Stegostoma tigrinum: one gene and its partners. The protein of the gene in region 2 purifies or fractionates together with the protein of the main gene of each other region. This does not show direct contact. Links are inferred from orthologs where the notes say so. Each region holds a gene or a part of one and is shown on either strand. Other genes may lie near its edges. The genes, in order: zbtb10, fbxl17 and zbtb18.

What was found.
Region 1: the proteins of fbxl17 (region 2) and zbtb10 purify together in Homo sapiens (affinity purification with western blotting; 3 studies listed by BioGRID and IntAct, with this or other methods). This does not show direct contact. The link is inferred for Stegostoma tigrinum from reciprocal best matches to the Homo sapiens genes FBXL17 and ZBTB10.
Region 3: the proteins of fbxl17 (region 2) and zbtb18 purify together in Homo sapiens (co-immunoprecipitation; 3 studies listed by BioGRID and IntAct, with this or other methods). This does not show direct contact. The link is inferred for Stegostoma tigrinum from reciprocal best matches to the Homo sapiens genes FBXL17 and ZBTB18.

What each region holds. Positions count from the first base shown.
Region 1 is NC_081358.1:21,938,034-21,945,724, forward strand, and holds the start of zbtb10 (zinc finger and BTB domain-containing protein 10), read right to left. Parts: upstream 2,828-7,691; 5' UTR 2,653-2,827; coding exon 1,873-2,652; intron 1-1,872. Other genes in the region: uncharacterized protein LOC125451549, read left to right, coding at 2,828-3,219, 4,941-5,121. UniProt on the Homo sapiens protein: May be involved in transcriptional regulation.
Region 2 is NC_081356.1:80,972,696-80,980,125, reverse strand, and holds the start of fbxl17 (F-box/LRR-repeat protein 17), read right to left. Parts: upstream 3,076-7,430; 5' UTR 3,005-3,075; intron 2,998-3,004; exon of another isoform or gene 2,854-2,997; intron 1-2,853. UniProt on the Homo sapiens protein: Substrate-recognition component of the SCF(FBXL17) E3 ubiquitin ligase complex, a key component of a quality control pathway required to ensure functional dimerization of BTB domain-containing proteins (dimerization quality control, DQC).
Region 3 is NC_081362.1:84,554,605-84,561,563, forward strand, and holds the start of zbtb18 (zinc finger and BTB domain-containing protein 18), read left to right. Parts: upstream 1-3,867; 5' UTR 3,868-4,088; coding exon 4,089-4,116; intron 4,117-4,130; exon of another isoform or gene 4,131-4,331; intron 4,332-4,358; exon of another isoform or gene 4,359-4,672; intron 4,673-4,933; coding exon 4,934-6,522; 3' UTR 6,523-6,959.

The DNA of each region.
Region 1 (7,691 bases), on a different chromosome or scaffold from region 2:
TCGATTAAGTACAGTGAATAGGTGGGATCCTAGTAATGAGCCCTAAGTCACTACTCACCACTTAGAATCTTAACATCTGAACTGTTATTTGATATACATCATGTTACTCAATAGTCATCGTAATGTATGTCATCTTTAAATAGTCATCTACTTCACCAGTACATCTAATAAATACTATCCTATTAAACTATATCCCAATTATATTTTCAGCTGCAGTGTTGCAAAAACAAACATGCATTGGAAGAAAACTGAAGCAACTGATCAAGGAATAAGACTTTCAGATAATCTAAGTAACTGACTGACAGTGGGCTCATCTGGGACAGATGCAATTACAGTAATTTGAGACAGTCAGTTCTTCTAGACTGGTACAATACCTTTCGCAAGGCAGCTGTGCCTTTTCAAATTACCCTCTCCACAATGCCGTGTTTGGGAGTTGTTAAAAAAAAGGCATGTCACAGCAAGAAACATGTTATAAAGAGGGTTTTACACAATTTGATGATTAGTATTTAAGATCCAGTAAAAAACGTTCCATCTTTTTTACAAAACTGGTCCAGTTATCAATGGATGCATGTGTAATTTTTCTCCAACATTAGTTTGAGCCCCGTGACACAATGAGCCATCAATACTACTGACAAACCTATGTTTGAACAGACTTGGCATTATTCGAAAAGATAACTGTTCAAACTGCTTCAAATCACTTTTGAATTCAATCAAATACAGTCCAATTTATGTACCATGATGAATAGATTATAGCCAACTAACATCTGAAACTTGCAATTTTACAGTCTTCAAGATATTAACTGGTACAGAATTTTCATGTCTCTATTACAGAGTTCGAATGAAGAATAAAACCATTAGTCATTGTCATATTTGCAAATTTTACCAGATAATTTGTAGCTCGAGAATGTTCTCCAAGAAGACACCAGTGTCTGATTGCTCATAATGTTTTGATCAGGAAGCAGAGGTTCATGTCACTAACGATCATATTTGATAAGTTTAATTTAGAACCTGCAGTGCAGAACCAAATCTGTTATGAACTTTTACTACCCTGAAGATTAAAATGGATTAGTTACATACTGAACCAAACTGTCATGCCAGTCATGTTGTCCCACTTTTCAAAATGGCATTTTGCAAAATCTTTATGAAGGGTTTACAGTTGACATACCAAATAGTGTACTGTCTCTACACAGCTTGCTACATATAAGCATTTTCAGTTTTTGTTCGATTTCCAGCATCTATATTTTCTTTATTTTTCCAAATTCTATTTTAATATATACCTTAACAGTTTTACACTATACAGCTATACAATCTCTCAAAATTCTAGAATTCTTTCTTGTAAATTAAGAAAGTGGAATGAATTTTTGTTTACCAAGCTGAAAAACGCAAGGCAAAATAAAATTCTCAAACCAGACAGCATCACGACTGTGCGAGGAAAACAAAACTTAGAAAAAAGTTGCCACTCACAAAGAAACTTTTTTTGTTGCGTGCATTTCTCGCCCGTTTCCAAATACAGCGTGCATTGGTCGGTAATGTGATCTCTCGCCGTGTTGTGTTCCGATTCAAGGGGCATAGTGCCATGTAAACAGGGTACAAGATCAAATTCCGTTCAAATCAATAAATCTAAACTGAATTCAATCTGTTGTGTACATGGATTAAGGAGTTTGGGGGATGGGACTGGGCGAGAGGGAAAGATAATTCTAAACCCTAACGTCAATATTAACTTCGAATAACCTGGAGAGCCATCAGCGCTCTCGGTCTGAAGTAAATGGAGTCACAGCAATCCGAATGAACGCAGAATCAGCAATGGCTACTTATTACCCTCCCCCACTTCGAGAGGAAGCCTTTTGCAGTATGATTTATAGTCACACTCACCTCCATGCAGGCCGCAGCGGATGGGTCATTCTGCCGGTGTTCAGTGTAAAGGTGATGCCGCAGCAGCGTGGTTCGCCTGTAATTGCGGCTTCCTTTCACGAACTTGTTGCGGTTATTGTTGCTCCCCACCCCGCTGTTGGCCCGCAGGCACCAGGAGCAGTACATAAGGCCCGTCTCCTGCTCGTACTGAAGCCACGGGAACTCCTGCAGCCACGATCTCTGGAAAGTGCGCTGCTGGGGCAGCAGGAAGGACTGCGGCCGGCCGAGTAGAGTCAGCCCGAATCCTCTCCGGCTGCAGCCGCCGCCGTTTTCCTCCTCATCCTCCTGGCCCACAGCTCCTTCGGCGGGCGACGCGGCTCGCTCCTTGTTGCCGGGCCCGTCCATCCCTTCCAGCTCCCCGTCTGCCGGTGGCGGCGGAGCCCCCGCCGCCTCCTCCTCCTCTTCCTCGGACTCGTTGCTGCTGATTGAGCCTCCGTCGACCACCCGCACCGAGGAGACCTCTTGCTCCGGGTACTCGTCATCCACCACCACCGTCTCGACCCAGTCCTCCTCGGCGGGGGGCGCAGCCGGGGGGACCTCGGCCTGGGCGCCGTCCAGCACAGGGAGGGCAGCCGATTTGGTCGGACTAACGGACGGGAAGGCCCCGTTCGAGGCCTCGCTGCTACTGCTGCCACCGTTGTTTTGGTGGTGGTGGTGGTGAGGCCCGAGCTCGGGGTCGATCCTGACGGCGGAGGCTCCGGTGCGGAAAGCCAGCGATCGCCTGTTCCTCTCGCCGGACATGGTGGATCAGGGAGGGGACGGGAGGGGTCGCTGATCCGAGCGTTGGCCGGAGGGGAGGGAAGGAGAGGAGGAGGGGGGTGGTGGAAGAGGAGGTTGCCTTTCCCGCGATAACCTCTTTATTTCCACCCCCCCAACCAGAGCCTCAATCTCCTCCTCCAAACTCCGGAGAGGTCGGATGAATTACGAACGGTATAAAGTTGCGAGCGGACAGGCCTGGTCCGAGAAGGTGCCGAACGGCGGTTTCTTCTACACCCCCAGCTCCTCCCAGATGTTGTTTTGTTCGGGGGTCCTACCCCCCCACCAACAACAACCACAACCGCCGCCACTTCCTCCTCGTGCACGGTCCAGGCTCCAAGCCGCTCGCGCTCCGCCAGCGCCAGCGGCTCCGAGTCCGCGAGACACGCAGCGGACGCCAACGGGCAAAGCTCCCAGAGTGCACCGCGCGCCGCCGCTGCTGCCACCACCGTCTCCCTCCCTCAGGGCCGGGCTCCGCTTCCAGGTCAAGCAGCCAATGGGGGGGAGGAGGCGGCGGTCACGGCCGTTTACTTCGATGTGGAATGCAAGTAGGTAAATCTCTTCTTCTCTATCAAGTTACCTCCATCCCTCATCTGTCTTAAGTCTGTAAATTTAATATTGTAGGTGTAAGAGAGGTCACTGGTGTTTTTTTTATTTTGACTCTTGTCCACCAAACTCCAATGTCTCGTTTTGTCGCCTTGATCTGCGACTAGGCAACGGAGCTGTGTCGGTGACTATGTACACACAGATATTTTTATAATCGAGAATCATTCCTCTTTTGAAATGAGGAAAAAGTTGACCGTGGCGGTACGGCTCGGCTTGCGATGAAGAAAAGTGGCCGTTCGGCCCGACGTCACAAACATCTGCATCTGTTCGGAAATGAAACCAAGAACCGGGAATACGAAAGATCCCAAAACAGAATATTTCTGCCGAAGTAACGAAGAAAGCACAAGTTCCTGTAGAGACTCAGCTGGTCTAGCAGTGTCCGTGGAGGGAGAGAAAGCGGAGTCATAATGTTTCAAGTGCTGTCAGCACTTAGTTCTGAAGAGAGATCACTGGACTCGAATCACTAACTCTGCTTTCTCTCTCTCCACAGTTGCTGCTAGATATGCTGAGTTTCTCAAGCAAATTCAGTTGCTTATTTTCAAATCCAATGTTTTCCCTCCCCTTGTGTGTGTTTGGCATTTCAAGCTCCTCTCAAAGTTTCCCAAATGTCTTGCAGGATTTTGCTCCTACCTGCCTTTTGGGTGGTGAGTTCCAAATACCTACTACCCTAATGGGCTAACCAATGTCCTGCACAGCTGCAACATGACATCCCAAATCCTATACACAATGCACTGACCCAAAAGAAGGTGTCTACCAAATTCCTTCTTCACCAGCCCAGCTACCTGTGACTCCACTTTGCAAGAATTATGAACCTGCACTCCAAGGTCTCTTTGTTGAGCAGTACTTCCCAACCATTAAGTGCAAAACTCATGCCCTGATTTGCCCTACCAAAATGTAGTACTTCACATTTATCTAAATTCAACTCCATTTGCCACTTCTCAGCCCATTGTCCCATCTAATTACAGTCCCATTGTACTCCATGGTAACATTCTTCACCGTTCACGATGCATCCAATTTTGGTGTCATCTGAAAGCATATCTCCTATATTCACATCCAAATCATTTATATACGTAACAAAAAGCAGTGGACCAAGCACTAATCCCTGCAGCACACTGCTGGTCACAGACCTCCAGCCTGAAAAGCAACCCTCCATCAAAATCCTTTGTCTTTGACTTTCAAGTCAATTTCGTATTGCAATGGCTAGTTCGCTCTGTGTTGCATGTAATGTAATCTTGTTAATTAGTTGACCTTGTCAAATGCCTTACCGAAGTCCACATAGGCAACATCCAATGCTCTGCCTTTATCAATGTTCTTCATCACTTCAAAAAACTTAATCAAGTTAGACACGGTTTCCCACACAAAACAACGTTGACTATCTCTAATCAGTCCTTTCCTTTCGAAATACATGTAATTCCTGTCCCTCAGATTCTCCTCCAACAATTTGGTCACCATTGATGTCAGGCTCACAGGTCTATAGTTCCCTTGATTTTCTTTACCACCTTTCTTATGATGGCATTTCTGAATTATTCAGTCGAAGGGAAATCTGCTCAAAAAATAAACTCAGTTGAAGAAAATCTAGCTAAGGACAAGCTGCCCATTGTTATCTCATTTTGCAAAATCCTCTTTATTGAGTTAGTAGTAAAGCGTATTTGTTCTTTTAAGGACAGATTGAAGAAACATCTCAAAATTGTATTTCCTGAGCAAACAGATTCTGCAAGACTTCAGGGCAACCCTGCAGAGCAACACACTCTACAACATTCTATGCTTTATTCTTCTGCCTTCAATTTATTGACCAACGTGCTTTTTTTTCATGAAGCAGCGATCTTGGATTTTTGTTTTCTTTCTGAAGTAAGTGTGTGTCTATGCACATATTTTGGGGATGTTTAGAGGGATAAGCATTTATACTTGTATGTTACTTACTGTGCGTGTCAACTGATGATTGAAATTTTTGATTAAATGTTCTTATGATAAACCAATAGTTGCCTTTTATGAGGAAATTATTTATAAATCTTGTTTAAAACCTGAGATATTTAATTGGTCACCATTCATGAATCCTCAGATAATGAAGCAGTTCATGTCCAAATGCAGCTAGACTTGGACAGTATTCAGGCTTGTGCTGCCAAGTGGCAAATAGTATTTGCTAGACATTGACAATATCCAGCAGGAGAGAATCTAACCATCACTCATTGACATTCAATGATGCTTCCATTCTCTGAATCCTCCATAACAACCATCGGCCAGAAACCAAATTGGACTAATCTCAAAAATATTGGAGCTACAATAGTAGATCAGTTGCAGGGAACAATTTACCTCCTGCCTCCCTTGAGCTTGTCCTACAAAACACCAGTAAGGAGTGTAGTGGAATACTCTCCACACAGATGGATGAGTGCAGCTCCAACAATGCTCAAGAAGCCTGACTCTATCGAGATGTAGCAATTTGCTTGATAGCATGATATAAACAGTCATTCAATCCACTGCCGATGCACAGTAGCAGCTGAGTGTATCATCTAAAAGGTGCACTCCAGAAATTCAGCAAGCATCCTTCGGTAGCATCTTTCTAAACCTATGAATGCTGCCACTGAGAATGACAAGGGTGCACATACAAAAGAACACCATCACCTGCAAAATCCTCTCAAAGCCACTCATCATCCTGATTTTAAAATGCCATTTCTTTAATGTGGCTGAGTCAAAATCCTGGAACTCCCTGACAGCACTGAGGGTTTACAAATAGACTGCAGCAGTTCGGAAGACACCTCAGCACGATCTTCTGAATTGCAATAAATGTCAGCCCAGACAGTGAAATACACATTTCCTGAATGAAAAAGTAAAAAAATCTCATTGCTTTGAAATGTATTTTTATTTTATGTTGTGACTCATGGAATATTAGAACTGGAGTGATTTAGCTGCCCTCAAGCTTCAGTTGGCACACTATATATCAAAAAATAATTAGTGTGTGAATTAGAAATTTAAATATCAGTCTATTTGGATTAATAAAGCTACCATCAGTCATATGTTAAACCAAGCCACTCTCATAACCTTCAGCTTTGAATTCTCTTTTTGCCCCCATATTCTACAGTGCACCATTACAGTGAAATAGGTTTGATATGGAAACCTGAACCATCCCTTCTTCACCGATGTACAATGGCAGCAATGTGTACCATCTACAAGTGCACAGCAGCAACTCACCCATCCTCTTTCAATAGCATATTCTACATCTAAGGCCTTGACCACTGAAAAGGACAAAAATAGTAGCTGTATGGGCACACCACCTGCAAGCTCCCATACCACACCACATGCCATCCTGATTTGGAACTATTCCTTTACTCTAACTGGGTTAACTGGCAAAGTCCTGAAACTCCCTTTCTAATTAGACTGTGTGTGCTGGGGCAAAGTCTTGAAACCCCATTTCTAATTAGACTGAGTGTGCCTCAGGACCTAGCCAGTAGGGTTCAAGATGCCTCAATAATTGGGATTTGGAGGTGAGTCACTTGTTCTCAGGGTGGAGGTTTGGGACTGCTGTGCTTGGGTTAGAACCACTATGTTCAGGTTGGAGATGGCATTACTGTGCTCATATTCAAAGAGCTGTGCCAGGAGCAGAGCTGGATGCGCATAATTTCTGCCCCTGGCCCTGGTGTACGTACACCCCAAAAGGAGTGCAGTAATTCATGACTGCAGCTCATGATGACCTTCTCAAGGGCAATTAGGAATGGAAAATTTGTGCTGGGCCCATTCTCATGAACTATATCATTGTTCCTCCACTGTTGCTAGATCAAAATCCTTCAACTGCTTCCTTGACAACATTGTAGATGTACCTAAACCAGGAACTTGGTATTATCACTGTACTGTCATCCCAGAAACCTAGGTAACCTGGGTTCGAAGCCCACCGTGGCAGATGGTGGAATTTGAATTCAATAAGTATCTGGAATCAAAAATGTCTAAAAATGACCATGAATCCACTGCTGATTGTCAGGAAAAATCCATCTGGTTCACTAATGTCCGTTAGGGAGGGAAACTGCCATCTTTACCTGGTTTTCCCTACATATGACTCCAGACCCAAAGCAATGTGGTTGAATCTTAGATAACAAGGTGTGGAGCTGGATGAACACAGCAGGCCAAGCAGCATCAGAGGAGTGGGAAAGCTGATGTTTCGGGCCTAGACCCTGCTTCAGAAATGGGGGAGGGGAAGGGGGTTCTGAAGTAAATAGGGAGAGAGGGGAAGGCAGATAGAAGATGGATAAAGGAGAAGGTAGGTGGAGAGGAGACAGACAGGTTAAAGGCCTGCTGTGTTCATCCAGCTCTACACCTTGTTATGTCAGATTCTGCAGCATCTGCAGTTCCTACTATCTCTGGTTGATTCTTAACTGTCTCTGGGTAATTGTGGATGGGCAATAAACGCTGCATAATCAGTGATGGCCTCA
Region 2 (7,430 bases):
AACATCTGTCAATATTAAAATACAAGAATCTATTACTAAGATAGACGCAGGACAGATAGAAAATCGAGTAGAATGTCATGGCTTTGTGAAAGGGAAGTTAACATCTGAACAATTTATGCAACCGCTTTGAAAAATTTCACCGAGTATTAAGCAAGGTGGAAAAACAGACACCAGTAAACATGACGGTTTACCAAAATCATTTTAATACCTTGCCACAAGATAAAAATCCATTTTGCTTGGGATGATATATTAATGTTTTCAGCATATTAGCTAACAAAGATAGATTCTGAAAAATGGCAGTCACTTGCAGGCTGGCATGCTGGAGGGTCGCAAGGATCAGAGGTGGGACTCAACTGTTTGTTTACGAGTATTAACGAAGTGGATGATGAAGTCAACTATATTATCTGCAGATTTGCTGATAATGCAAAGGATAGGCAGCAGAATAAGTTGTGAAAAGGATACAAAGGATCTGCAAAGGGATATATATACTGATGACATCAGTTAGGAAAATATTTGGCTAGAGAATAATGTAGTAAAATTTGAGGTTATTCACTTTGGCCAGAAGAAAAGAGAAATAGAACATTGTTTAAATGGAGAAACACTACAGAATGCTGCACAGCAAAGATCTGGGTCTTACTTAATCCAAAATGTTTGCTTAAAGCCATATCCAATAACTTCCTGTTACCAGTTTTCTTTTCCTCCCATCTGAATGTAATAGCTCTTCCCTGTGCTAACTCTATCTGTATATCAAGTTTTGTTAAAATCATTCAGTAGTTTCTGACATATATTGTTTACAAACAGACTAGCAAACAAAGCAAAAACATCTCTTCCACCCATCTTCAGCGGCAGAGGTAATTATTAAGTTAAATTTGATGTCAGCCTTTACCCACCAACATTTTATAGTAAAAGGAAGGAATTTTACTGCAACAGTGCATTGATGAGTCTGAAGCTGAAGTACTGTGGTGAGTTATTTCCTATCTCTAGGAGTTTCCCTTGCATTAGAAGCAATTCACAGAAAGTTCACTTGGCTGGTTTCTGGGGTGAATGGGTTGACTCATGGAGAAAGGATGAACGATTGCGCTGATAGTCATTGGAGTGAATAAGTGGTAATATTATTTAAACATAAGATTCTGACGGGGATGTACGCTGTTACTGCTGGAAGAATGCCTCCTTTTGTGGGGAAGACTAGAAGTAGGGGACGGACTTTAAAAATAAGAGATTTCCCATTAAAACTAAAGGAGGAATTCCTTCTCGCAGAGATCATATTTTTTGGAATGCTCCTCCACAGAATACTGGAGAACGTGTCATTGTGCATTTTCAAGGTTGAGTGAGATAGATTTTTGTTAACAAAGACTCAAAAAAGGTAACAGGTGCAAGCAGGGAGGTGGGTTCATCAGATCAGTCATACTCATACTAGGTAGCATAGTAGGTTCAATGGGCAGAAAAGCCTCAACCTACTGCTCTTTCTTAAGACTTATCTGCTATTGAAACCTTGATTTAAGCCTTTATCAGCTCTAGACTCAATTAATTGTGAGCTTTCCATTCCAGAAAAAAATCTCTAAAATCAACACATACCCACAAATTCACTACTTGTACTCAATCATCCACCATGACCAACACACCTATCCTCAACACACACTGACTCTACATCTCCCAATAATTTAAGTTTAACAATTTTATTCAATCTATGAACCTCACCCCATTCTCAGTTCCTCTGATAATACCTTTTGGTGCCTATCCCCTTCCTTCATTTGTACAAATACAGTATCGTCCGCCAAGACTTAACATATCGGACCAAGCAGATTGATGCTCTTTCCAAATATCTCCCCCTTGATGTTGCATCTAATTTGTCCCTTAACTCTGAAGTGTTTCTGGATGTTTTTCTTAATTTATAATTCACTTGTATAAATTGTATTTACAAGAATATTAGTCTTATGAACTAATCACATCACTGTTTAAAAAGGACATTGATAGAATTATTTACATGAAGTCATCCGTGTAAACATGTATCTATAAACTTTAAAGGTAGTTCTAACCACAAAAAAAAATCAACAATCCTGACTGACTCAAGCCCTGTGATATTGCACAATCTTTCAAAATAAAAATAATTTAGTTCCACTTTCTTGTGTGAAATTACTGATTTTAGATGGAATAGTACATGGTGAAATGTCAGTGCAACTTCAGACAAAACCTCTTATCCATGGAGAACCAAACCATTACACTTTATGTAGCTCTGGGCTACTATCACTGCACTTGTAAATAATAATGAAAAATGCAAGATTGGAAACTAATTATAACCCAACAGGACCATTTCATGTAAGTGTAATTAAACCAGAATTGAAAATGTAACTACTGTGCATTGAACAAACACATGCATTGAAAAAATATTTCAAATTGTCCTTTTAGTATTTAATAAAATTCAAAATGCATTTATATTATAGATTTAACGTGACCTGAGGTTTTCTTTACATCTTGTACATTTTCCCTATTCGCTATTTATATTGCGGAAGAATGTCAGAGGGCATTTTATTCAAATCACAATGGTTATAGATTAAGTGAAGGGTTTAACAAAACAATCTGATTATTGACTGTAAATTGAATGCGAGATTAAAAACATGATCAATTTTTAATATCTCCATAATATTTCAGTACTCAAAACCACTTGTACTGCTTCCTGTAAAGAGTTTCCATCCTCTACTGTCCCAATGTGAGACTAGGACTGTAGCAGCATTTCCGACTTCCTAAATTCCAGCTCCAATATGCAGCTTCACACATACTCATTTCAAACAAGGCCTCAGCTGCCCAGTGTTTGTCTCGCAAACTGTAAATAACAGGAAGAAGCGTGCTGCCTACCGGCGACTATTCCTTCCTACCGCCTTCACACGTTTGCATACTTAAACACAGAGACGTCATCATTCTTGTGTGTGTGTTTTTTTTCCCCCTAGAAAATATAAACAATTACTACTTATTGGAAAAAAAATAGTGAATATAAACTGATGCAGACCTTCCGGCTGTACAAGGCCTCATTCTTCAACTGAGAGGCCGGCTCAAACCGTCCGCGCGCCTCATTGGCGGCGATCAGCGAACGTCACTCGGTGATCCCGCCTTTTAATCAGATCCCAGCCGCGCAGTGATCAACCGCTGAGCGGGGACCTACCGTGAGGCGATTGTTAGCATTGCCGTGGGACAGAGCTTTAATAATGGTGACCTGCTGCTGCTGCTGTTGTCAGGTGAGAATCTTCGAGCTGGTGACTGAGAGGACCCGACAGCTGTTTGTTTCCTAAAATTAGATCAAGATCTTTGTCCGACCTTGTTCTCAATCGCTCTCCCTTCTCCTGTTAATATGTTTCTGCGTTTATATTCATCACTCCAGTGACTCTCATCCCTTTTTCTCTGCAGAATCTGTCCCTTTTTGTATTGTATTTATTGTGTTCATTAGTTTTCGGTCACATTTGTTTCGTCTGATATTGTTTTCTTTCTGTATTTTCAGCGTGACATCTTGAAATATATCATTCACCCATAACTTTTCGTGGTCGAATGAAAGCAAAATACTGGAACTTCAGAAGAAACAGAGTGGATTCGAAATAGTAATTCTTTCTATCTCCACACATTCTGGCAGATCTGCTGAGATTTTCCGCCGTTTTCTGCCTGTTTATACCTATTCAACTTCTCTAATTTTCCAGAAAATTTATCTCTTAAAAATTGTACGTCCTGGGATTCCCTTTTGTGGGAGCGCTCAACTCCCAGACCATGTTAAACTTAATCGTTTTGTAATCACTCACTGTCTAGATGATAGAAGTGTCAGATACTGACAGAGATATTAGGAACTGCTGATGCTGCAGAATCTGAGATAAACAAGGTGTGGAGCTGGATGAACACAGCAGGCCAAGCAGCATCAGAGGATTAGATTAGATTCGATTCCCTACAGTGTGGAAACAGGCCCTTCGGCCCCACAAGTCCACACCGCCCCTTGAAGCATCCCACCTAGACCCATCCCCCTATAACCCACACACCCCTGAACACTATGGGCAATTTAGCATGGCCGATCCACATAGCCTGCACATCTTTGGTTTGTGGGAGGAAACCGGAGCACCCAGAGGAAACCCACGCAGACACGGGGAGAATGTGCAAATCCCCACAGACAGTCCCCTGAGGCTAGAATTGAACCCGGGTCCCTGGCGCTGTGAGGCTGCAGCGCTAACCACTGAGTCACCGTGCCGCCCAGGAGCAGGAAAGCTGACGTTTCAGATCTGGACCCTTCTTCAGAAATGGGGGAGGGGAAGGCGAGGGGGATTCTGAAATAAATAGAGAGGGAAAGCGGATGGAAGATGGTTAAAGGATCAGATAGTTGGAGAGGAGACGGACAGGTCAAAGAGGCAGGGTTGGAGCCAGTAAAGGTGAGTGTAGATGGGAAATTAGGGTGGGAGTTAGTCAGTCCGGGGAAGATGGACAGGTGAGGGATGCAGGGATGAAGCTGGTTGGTAGGAGGTGGGAGTGGGAATTGAAGTGGGAGGAGCAGACACATGGGAGGAAGGACAGGTTAGGGAGGCGGGGACAAGCTGGGCTAGTTTTGGGATGCGTTCACGGGTGGGGAGATTTTGAAGCTTGTGAAGTCCACACTGGTACCGTTGGGCTACAAGGTTCCCAAGTGAAATATGAGGTGCTGTTCCTGCAACCTTAAGGTGGCATCGTTGTGGCACTGGATGAGGCCCAGGATGGACATGTCATCCAAGGAGTGGGAGGGGGAGTTGAAGTGGTTCGCAACTGGCAGGTGCAGTTGTTTGTTGTGAACTGAGTCTAGGTGTTCCACAAAGTGGTCTCCAAGCCTCCGCTTGGTTTCCCCAATGTCAAGGAGGCCACATCGGGAACAGCGGATATAGTATACCACACTAGCAGATGTGCAGGTGAACATCTGTTTGATGTGGAAGATTTTCTTGGGGCCTGGGATGGGAGTGAGGCAGGAGGTGTAGGGGCAGATGTAGCACTTCCTGCGGTTGCAGGGAAAAGTGCTGGGTTGGTGGGGCTGGTGGGGAGTGTGGAGCGGACAAGGGAGTCACGGAGAGAGTTGTCCCTCTGGAAGGCACATAAGGGTTGGGAGGGAAAAATTTCTTTGGTGGCGGGGTCAGATTGCACAGGCGGAAGTGCTGGAGGATGATGCATTGGATCCGGAGATTGGTGGGGTGATACGTGAGGATGAGGGGGATTCTGTTTTGGTTGTGATTGCGGGAAGGGGGTGTGAGGGATGGGTTGCGGGAAACGTGAGAGATGTGGTCAATGGCGTTCTTGACCGTAGTGGGGGGTAAGTTGCAGTCCTTGATAAACGAGGATATCTGGCATGTCCAGGAGTGGAATGCCTCATCTCAGGAGCAGGAATTGGGATTAGGGGGTGACATTTTTGCAGGAAGGTGGATGAGAGGCGCTGTCAGATACTGACAGTCGTTTACAAGGTGCATAATACATTACAAGCCATTCTTTGCAGATCTTTCAATTACTTCGAAGCAACTGTCTATGCACAGGTGGTGTGAAAACATTGATCTATGAGATATTAGCTGCTAGAAGTCACTTCCTACTCAAACGCAAAAATAAGTAAAAACATATTCGGATTTGGATTGCAAGCAAACATAAAGATGCTTTTGTCTCTAAAGATGCTGCTGACACTTTGATAAATAAAGATACCTTCCTGCAAATGGTGAACTTGTTGTAAAAGGTTTGGAGAAATTTGAATCATTGAGTGTCTGAACCTTGTTTGGCGATATCCATAAGATCTCTTAAATTGCTCCAGTAAATCACATGACTCTCAACAAAGTGGACAGAGCTGACTTTGCAGTGGTGGATGTGTATAGTGAGGTGAACAGGATTAATAACTCAACTATGCTTTCTTCATACATTTAAAATGTAAGTCCCCAAGTATTAGAGGCTCATTTCTTGCACGTGTTGTGCTCTTAATAAAAAACATATATGTCTTGATCGTTTATTTTGTTACCTACTGACCATTTTCCTGGCAAAGAGAGAAAAGTCTTTTAAATCAGGATGACTGTAGAACAAATCAAACTTCTGCCACATGCATTGTAATCCAATTTTTGATAAAAAGCCTTTTTATTCTAGAGCATTGTAGTTAGTTCCTTAGTCAGGTTGCCTTGTGAATGAAATTCTGTCACTGGTTGGTAGATATGTTCCCTGTCTTTTCCATCAGATATGGTAGTTTTGGCTAGACAAATAGCCTTACGCAGATTTAGTTAAATACATTGAAGTGGATTTTCAATATATGTAGCAGTGGGGTCCTTCAAACTGAGCTTTCCCTGTCTTCTAATCTGTGTGCAGTTTTGGTCTCTTTATCTGAGGAGGGATGCTGTGGCTTTTGAGGGAGTGCAACTAACAGTAAAGAACTAAGAATGTTTTGAAGAAAGAGTTAGTTATAGCTCTTAGAACTAAAAGAATAAAAGTGTATGGTGAAAAATCAGGAAGAAGATACTAAATTGAATGATCAACTACGATCATATTGAATGGGGGAGCAAGCTTGAAGGGCCTCCTCCTGTTTCCTGTGTTTTATGGACAATTGTGTATAGGTTAATCAAGCAGAGTCTACAGGGAAATCATCTTTAACTAATTTATTAGAGTCCTTTTGGGAAGTAACAAACATTGTCGTTAAAGACGTGTACTTAGATCTCAAAAAATGTCAAATCATATTTTACTGCACAAAATAAGAACTCATGGTGGTCAGAATGATTGATTAGCATGCACAGAGGATTGTTCAAGGGTAAATAGATCATTCTTGGCAGGTCGTAACTGGCAGAGTGCCACAGAGATTAGATACAAAAGCAGAAATTGCTGAAAAAGCTCAGCAGGTCTGGCAGCATCTGTGACGAGAAATCAGAGTTAACATTGCAGCGCAAGTGACCCTTCCTCAGAAATTTTTCACAGCATCTTCATTTGGTTTTTATTTGCTCAACTATTTACAATCTACGTTAATGACTTTGATGAAGGTATTGACTGCATTGTAGTCAAATTTTCTGTTGACAGAAAGATGGGCAAGAGTATTTTGTCAAGGGGACTTAAAGAGATGACAATGGATGATGAGTGAAATGAAGAGGCAAATATTTGGCAGATGGTATATAATGTAGAAGAGTGTGAAATTGTACACTTTGGCAGGAAAAATAAAAGACATTACTTCATTTAAGAGAGCCCACAGAACTTGACAGATCAGAGGGATCTGGATATCTTGATCTGTGATCGCATGGTATTAGTGTGCAGGTGAAGCAAATGATTAAGAAGGCAAATGGAATGTTAGTTTTTATTACAAGACAAGTATATGTAAAAGTCAGGAAGCGTTGCTGCAGCTGGTGTCCCGTGTACGCTTTTGGTTGTATTACATCAATAAGAATAGAATTGCACTAGAAGTAGTTCAGTGAAGGTTCACTTGACTGATTTCT
Region 3 (6,959 bases), on a different chromosome or scaffold from region 2:
ATGGGTTTCCACCGGGTGCTCTGGTTTCCTCACACAGTCCAAATTTGTGCAAGTTCGGTGGATTGGCCATGTTAAATTGCCCACAGTGTTCAAAGATGTGCAGGCTAGGTGAATTAGCCATGGTAGTTTGGGTTTGTGGGATAAGTCAGAGGGTTAGGTCTGGGTCTGTTCTTTGGAGGGTCGGTGCAGACTTGATGAGCTGAATAGCTTCTTTCTGCACTCTAATGATTCTGTGAATACAGGTTGCTGCTTTGATTAGCGCCTCTTTTAAATACAAAAGCAAATTACCATATATTTAGCTTCTTTCTTGTTTTATAGCCCATTCAATTATCTTTGTTAATTTCCAGTGGTGAGATTCATATTGCTCATTTGCCTTATAAGTCTCTCCACAACAAAATAAACGAAAGAAATGATACCAGGCGGTATGGTTGCCCATGACTTATAAATGCAAACAAAATGGCTTCATAAAATATCCTGGGCCTGTAAATTCAGCCTTCATTCTTTTCACTTTATCCGATGAAAGTTGGACTTGGCAGTAGCATTCCCCTGACTTCTCTTGCAGGAAAGTAAAAGGGCACAGCATTGCATCCTGGCACTAGCAGCTGGGAATAGCAACCGAGCAGGTCAGATTACTGTATGATAGGCAAAAGCCTTGAGGTAGGAGGAGAATGGAACTATGACTTCACTGATTAGGGTTTATGGATATGACAACGTGATGGTGGGGTGTGTGGTTCATGGAATAGTATAAATTAAATTCTGAACATGGTTTTATACATTGGTTTTGTTCAATTAGATTGTTTTGTTATTTGTTCATTTAAGTTATACTATTGAGCTTTTGGGATTTAAATAAAAACAGATTGAAACTTGTTAACAATTTCAAAATGCTTATATCTAGGCCTCAAATTATTAGGAAGTGTTATAATCATATTAGTGTATTTAAAATCATCATAACACATTTATTCAGAAATATTGGCACAATTTTCCTGAGCAGCACGGGCTTTTGTTTTTGTTTTGAGGTTTTCCACTACCTGAACTTTTTTTTAAAATCTAGCTAATGTCCTGCATTAAAACTTTCCACAAAATGTCCTTCACAGTATTTGACTTGTGAAAATAACTGTTTGTTGCATCAAGAAACAAATAAACTTAGGTTTATTTAGTATCTGTAGCCCACAGACGTGTAAGCAACTGCTGATCACTAAGACCAGGGATTTTGTGCACAGATAAGTTTGGCACAGATGGAAAGACAGCACAGTTGGCACAAATGGCACAGCTGGCATCAATGGCACTGATGCACAGCTAGTACCTTTGGCACAATTGACAGTGTCAGTGTAGTTGGCACAGCATGAACAGCTGGCACAGAAGTATTACAGCTGGCAGTATTGGCATAGTACAGTCTTTCTCCCCCCATCAATTCTTATACAACTTTGGTAAGGTTTGACTTCATATTGTTAGTACTTTGTGTTAAATAAACATGTCTGTTTAGTTTCATGCTTCCTAATTCTGCTATTTTTAAAGTATCTTTATTGTCCTTTATCTACAATCTCAAAAGCTATACATGCAAAGTCCCAAATTGCCTAGAATGTTAGTGTCCTGCAATTTTCATACATTTTTCCACCTTAGTGGAATTGGATATTTCCAATTTTCACATTTAGTACAGATTGTGATGATTTATTCATTTTCAACATGTATACATATTCAAATGAAAATGACAGAAAGCTTGCTAATTCCATCGATCAATTGCTTCCCAAAAGCCCCCCATTCCTTCAACTAAAAATTTAAATGTGATAACATCATATGAAATTTGTGTTAACCAGCTTGGAGGATGGGAGGCTTCAATTAGTAGCATCTGATGAGAACAGAAAAAAAAAGACTCTTGCATGCCAAACTCATGTTGCATAAATAAATGCCATTGAAAATTTTCATTGCCCTGAAATTAACTCTTAATTATTAAAGCAAATAGCAAGTGCAGGTTGGTCTGGAACACAAGCAGTCTAAAAATTGACTGTGGGTCACAAGTTAAAGACTGAGGTCTGTCTGTCCTAGTGCAGATTTGCCTCAGTTGGGTGAGTTTTGTTAATTCTCAGCTGGATTCATCCAACAGATTACTATTCTGAGAGGGGAACACAAAAGCTGGTTATTAGGCCTATTGCTTCAACTGTGTTGTTTGTTATCAATCCTGAATGTCATTGCCAGTGGCCCTGGTTAAATCTGCAACCAGGAAATTTAATCTAGTCGCCTTAATTGAATGAATTTCGCCATTATATCTGAGCTACAGAAATACTGCACACAGAGGGTGGTTATTTTAGACAGGGCAACTGGTGTCACCAAGACATAATTGTGCCTCCTGAACACCAGTAACAGTAATCTCAGAACAAATTTTAAAGCAAAGTCACGTTTAAAACCTGGGCAGTTTTGGAGTTCTAGTTGAAAGAGGCATATGCCGTCGACAAGGTTTGAAAATTTAGAGAAGTCTTTGAAGAAATATAATTTTTCGAAAGACAGGGTACATGAACTGCAAGCCTCCAGTACTGGATTGACCGACTTACATCTGTAAATATTTGACCCTATATTTTGAGTTTTGTTCTCCCTTTTATGTTAAAATATGAAATATTTTATATGCAATATTTCAACATATTCTGAAATCTTACCTCTGCAGGTTTACTTATAGTTTGCACATTATCATACGCAAACTTTTAAAGTTTTGACCTTTTAGTACTGAAAAGATTTTTTTTCAATTACGCTTCCGCTTTCACAAAACCTTGCCTTCAAAGCTTTTGCAACTCTTACTGGCTTTACAGATCGGGCTGGCGATTGCGCATCGGGAAGGTGATCACAACTTGATCCTCTTCCCCCGACGCCACGAGGACTACAACTCCCGAGATTCATTCCAGCCTCCTCCCCGCCCACCCTGCCACCACCTTCTCGCCAACGTCCGAAGACGCGCAAATTCCCCCTTTTGCTGGCTCACGGTTACTCCGAAGCAAACCCTGGGCTGAAAGCGGAAACCCCGCCTACTTTCCGACCCGATTGGCTGGCCGGATCCTGGACTTTCTGGGGGTTTTTTTTCGGAAGGTGGCCGGACCGATTCCCGGCGCTTTTTGTGGTCGGCCTAAGACTTCAATGAAGACATGATGTCAGCCACACTTCCTCTGTCAAGGTAGGTAATGAGCACGAAATAGCAACAGCTCTCTAACATCTGGGCGCACTTGTCCCCGGCGCCCTGTCTATCTATCTATGTATATGTCGATCTCTCTCATGAAGTCCTGAAAGTCATTGGCTCCTTCCTTCCAACACCCCCCCCCTCTCCTTCAGCAATCCCTCCCACCATCTCCTCCTACTTTGTACTCGCTATTCCCGCAGGCAGAAAAGTGCCCCCTTCTCTTTTTTTAATATATTGTTGCTTCCTGTGAGTATCTCAGAGAACCAGATCCTCCTGGATTTCCTCATTTTAAAACAACTCCGGCTTAGAGGAAGGGGAGGGGAGACACAGTGTTGCCAGAAGCGGCGCGGAGTTACAATGTTTCAAAAATGTTACTCTTCACTACCCCCCGCCCCGTCCGCCTTCCCGAGTTGTTGCGCCGCGTTGTTGCTGGTAACCATTCACACGCTGGCGGTGGAACGCCAGCCCAGATCGTTCCATCGGACCAGAGGCGGCGGCGGCGGCGGTGGTGGCGGCTGCAGCCTGTTGTTACTTTATTTTTTTTCTCCCCACACTATGTGTGTGTGTGTGTGTTGTGGTTTGACTGCCGTCACCATGCATTGAGGATCTCTGCTGCTGTTCTTGCTGCAGCAACATTTAACAGGTCGCCCTGTAGCGTTTTTTTCTCTCTCTCTCTCACACACACACACACACACACACACACACAGCGGCCGCAGTTTGTGTCATTTCAAGTGAAGTGAATATATTTGGAAACATAAATAAAATAAAGGGAAGGGCGAGCAGAAAGGGGGCTTAGGGCTGGGTGGTGAGAGAGACACTGTCTGGTACTTTATTTGGAGGGGGGATTTTTTTCCCCCTTTTTTGTAGCAGATAATGTATTCAAACGTGAGATTGGTGGCAGCAGCAGCAAACACGACACGAGTAACATATGGCATTAAAAAGCAGCACAGCTGGAGGTAGCATTTCCATTTGAAGTGATGTCAGAGCAGCTGACAGTCTGGCATTGCTGGGTTTTTTTGTGTGATCTTGCTCCGTGTGCCGGTATCATTCCTCTTCAGTCTGCTTTTTTAAACTTGACAGACCGGAGTCACAAAGATTTAGCGCACCCTTGAAGGTGTTCTTTTAGAGGGATTGGTCACGAGAAGTTGGTCTGTTTTTATTCCTGTTGCAGGTATGGGGGGGATTCTACCCTTTTTTTTGCAAACCCTGCTAGGAATTTTGTATGATATTATATGTGCTTGTTTAATTCAGAGTTGACAGATCATTGTTGAGTGCAAGCTAATTTTTTTCTTAAGAGTTGTGGTAATAGTGACTAATTTGGGATTCGCAGATTGCGACGCGTGGAATTGCCCAGACAGCTGTAATCGCACTCCATTCTTTAATCTCTTTATCTGGGCAGCAGCTGCCATATGGCCATAGTCATCTGTATCAGATGTTTATAAGCTTCGTTTTCGTCCTGTCTCTGTCCTTTTAGGCATCTAATTTGATCAACAGTACCTTACTGACTATCATGTAATCTTTATTTTTAGCCATTTTAAGGATTAGAGATGGGGACACAGGGCACTTAATGTGATTGAGTTTGAGTTTTGTGGCAGTTTGCGTGTTTTTTTTCTCCCTCTTGTACGCGCTAATAGAGCGAGAACAAAATAATTTCTTGTTAAAATATGTTTTCCATTGTGTTAACTTTTATCTGTAGCATGCAGTATGCTTTAGGGTTTTACTACTCCTGTTTTATCTATTTCTACAAATGTTAACAAACTTTGTCTGCTACAGGTTATGAAGACAGTATGGAGTTTCCAGACCACAGTAGACATTTGCTCCAGTGTCTGAGTGAGCAAAGGCATCAAGGTTTCCTTTGTGATTGCACTGTCTTGGTTGGAGATGCCCAGTTTCGAGCCCATCGTGCTGTGCTTGCTTCGTGCAGCATGTACTTCCACCTCTTTTACAAGGACCAGCTGGACAAAAGGGACATTGTTCATCTGAACAGCGACATTGTTACAGCCCCAGCTTTCGCTCTCCTCCTTGAATTCATGTATGAAGGGAAACTCCAGTTCAAAGATTTGCCTATTGAGGACGTACTTGCAGCTGCGAGTTACCTTCACATGTATGACATAGTGAAAGTCTGCAAAAAAAAGCTGAAGGAAAAATCAACTACAGAAGCGGACAGCACCAAGAAAGAAGAAGACGCTTCAAGCTGTTCTGATAAAGGAGAAATTTCTTCAGTGAGCAGTGCACATATAGTGGGGGATCTGGCAAGCGAGGAAGATGAAACTGAAGAGGAAAAATCAAGTGCTGTGTTGAGCAAAAGGGACATAGTTATTGAATCTGGGAACATGTGGATGAGATTGCCCTCTGACTCAGCAGGCATCACTCAGCCTGGCGTTGAGGTTGAGGCACATGCAGTAACAGCTGGAAAAACAGTGTCCAGTCCCTGCAGCTCAACAGGCCCTTTGTCCCAAAGGTCTGCCAACTCCATTAAGGATTCAGCAGATGTTGACTGTGTGCTGGATTTGTCTGTCAAGTCTGGACTGTCAGGGGGAGAAAATGTCAGCCACCCTTATGTCTCTCCACATGGGGACAGTTCCAGAAATAACTTGGTGCAGGTTAAAGTAGAAAAAGAAGTGTTTTCCGATGAAGAAGGCAGCAGCACTAATGATTTTGATATGGAACAAAGTAGCACAGTGAAAGACAGTGCAGGCACTATGAATAGGCTTTGTTACGATTCACTCCATATGTCCGCCAGAAGAGAAGCTTCTGTGTCAAGCGAGATGGACCGAGAGGATCGAGCCAGCGATGATGAGATGGTAACCCCAGAGAATGACGGAGCCCAGATGGATGCAGGCATGGACAGCAGCTTGCTCCCTTACTGTTCTAATATACTTGGCTCAGCCGGCCAAATCTTCATGTGTCCCCTCTGCAACAAAGTCTTTCCTAGCCCACACATTCTGCAGATCCATCTGAGCACGCACTTTCGAGAGCAGGATGGCCTCCGCAGCAAGCCTGCCACTGATGTAAATGTTCCCACCTGCTCGCTGTGTGGGAAGACTTTCTCGTGCATGTATACCTTAAAACGACACGAGCGAACTCATTCAGGTGAAAAGCCATACACTTGCACTCAATGTGGGAAGAGTTTCCAGTATTCGCACAACCTGAGCCGTCACGCAGTTGTTCACACCCGGGAAAAGCCTCATGCATGCAAGTGGTGTGAGCGCAGGTTCACGCAGTCGGGTGATCTGTACAGACACATTCGAAAATTTCACTGTGAGCTGATAAACACACTCTCTGTTAAAACGGAATCACTTAACTTGCCTGCGATGCGTGACTGGACCATAGAAGAGAGCTCGCAAGAACTCTGGAAATAAAGTCTACCTGTCAAGCAGTCTGAAAAATCAAGTTTCTGGTAATCTCTTCTACAGCCTTTTGGGTACTGAATTCTCTCCATACAATAATAGCCGTAAATACTGTTTGTCAGAGCACAATCTACAAAGTGAGATTGTGAATCATATTGCAACATAAGGTAAATAAGAATTAACTATTAAACGCAACACTTATTTAATAAATACTCTAATTTTCTTTTCAAATGCACTCCTGCAGCTGTTGAGTGCACTGCAAAGGATGCTGCTGTATAGTACGTGAAGTTTCGTTGTTGAAATTTTCAACAATGAACCACTAATTCATTAAGGTTTTCATTGATATGTGTTAATATTTTAATGTTGCACAATTTCTGGATATTTAAAACATTTTTGTACAATGCTGTAAACAAGATAACTATGAATTTCTTTTCCATATGCCTAGGAAT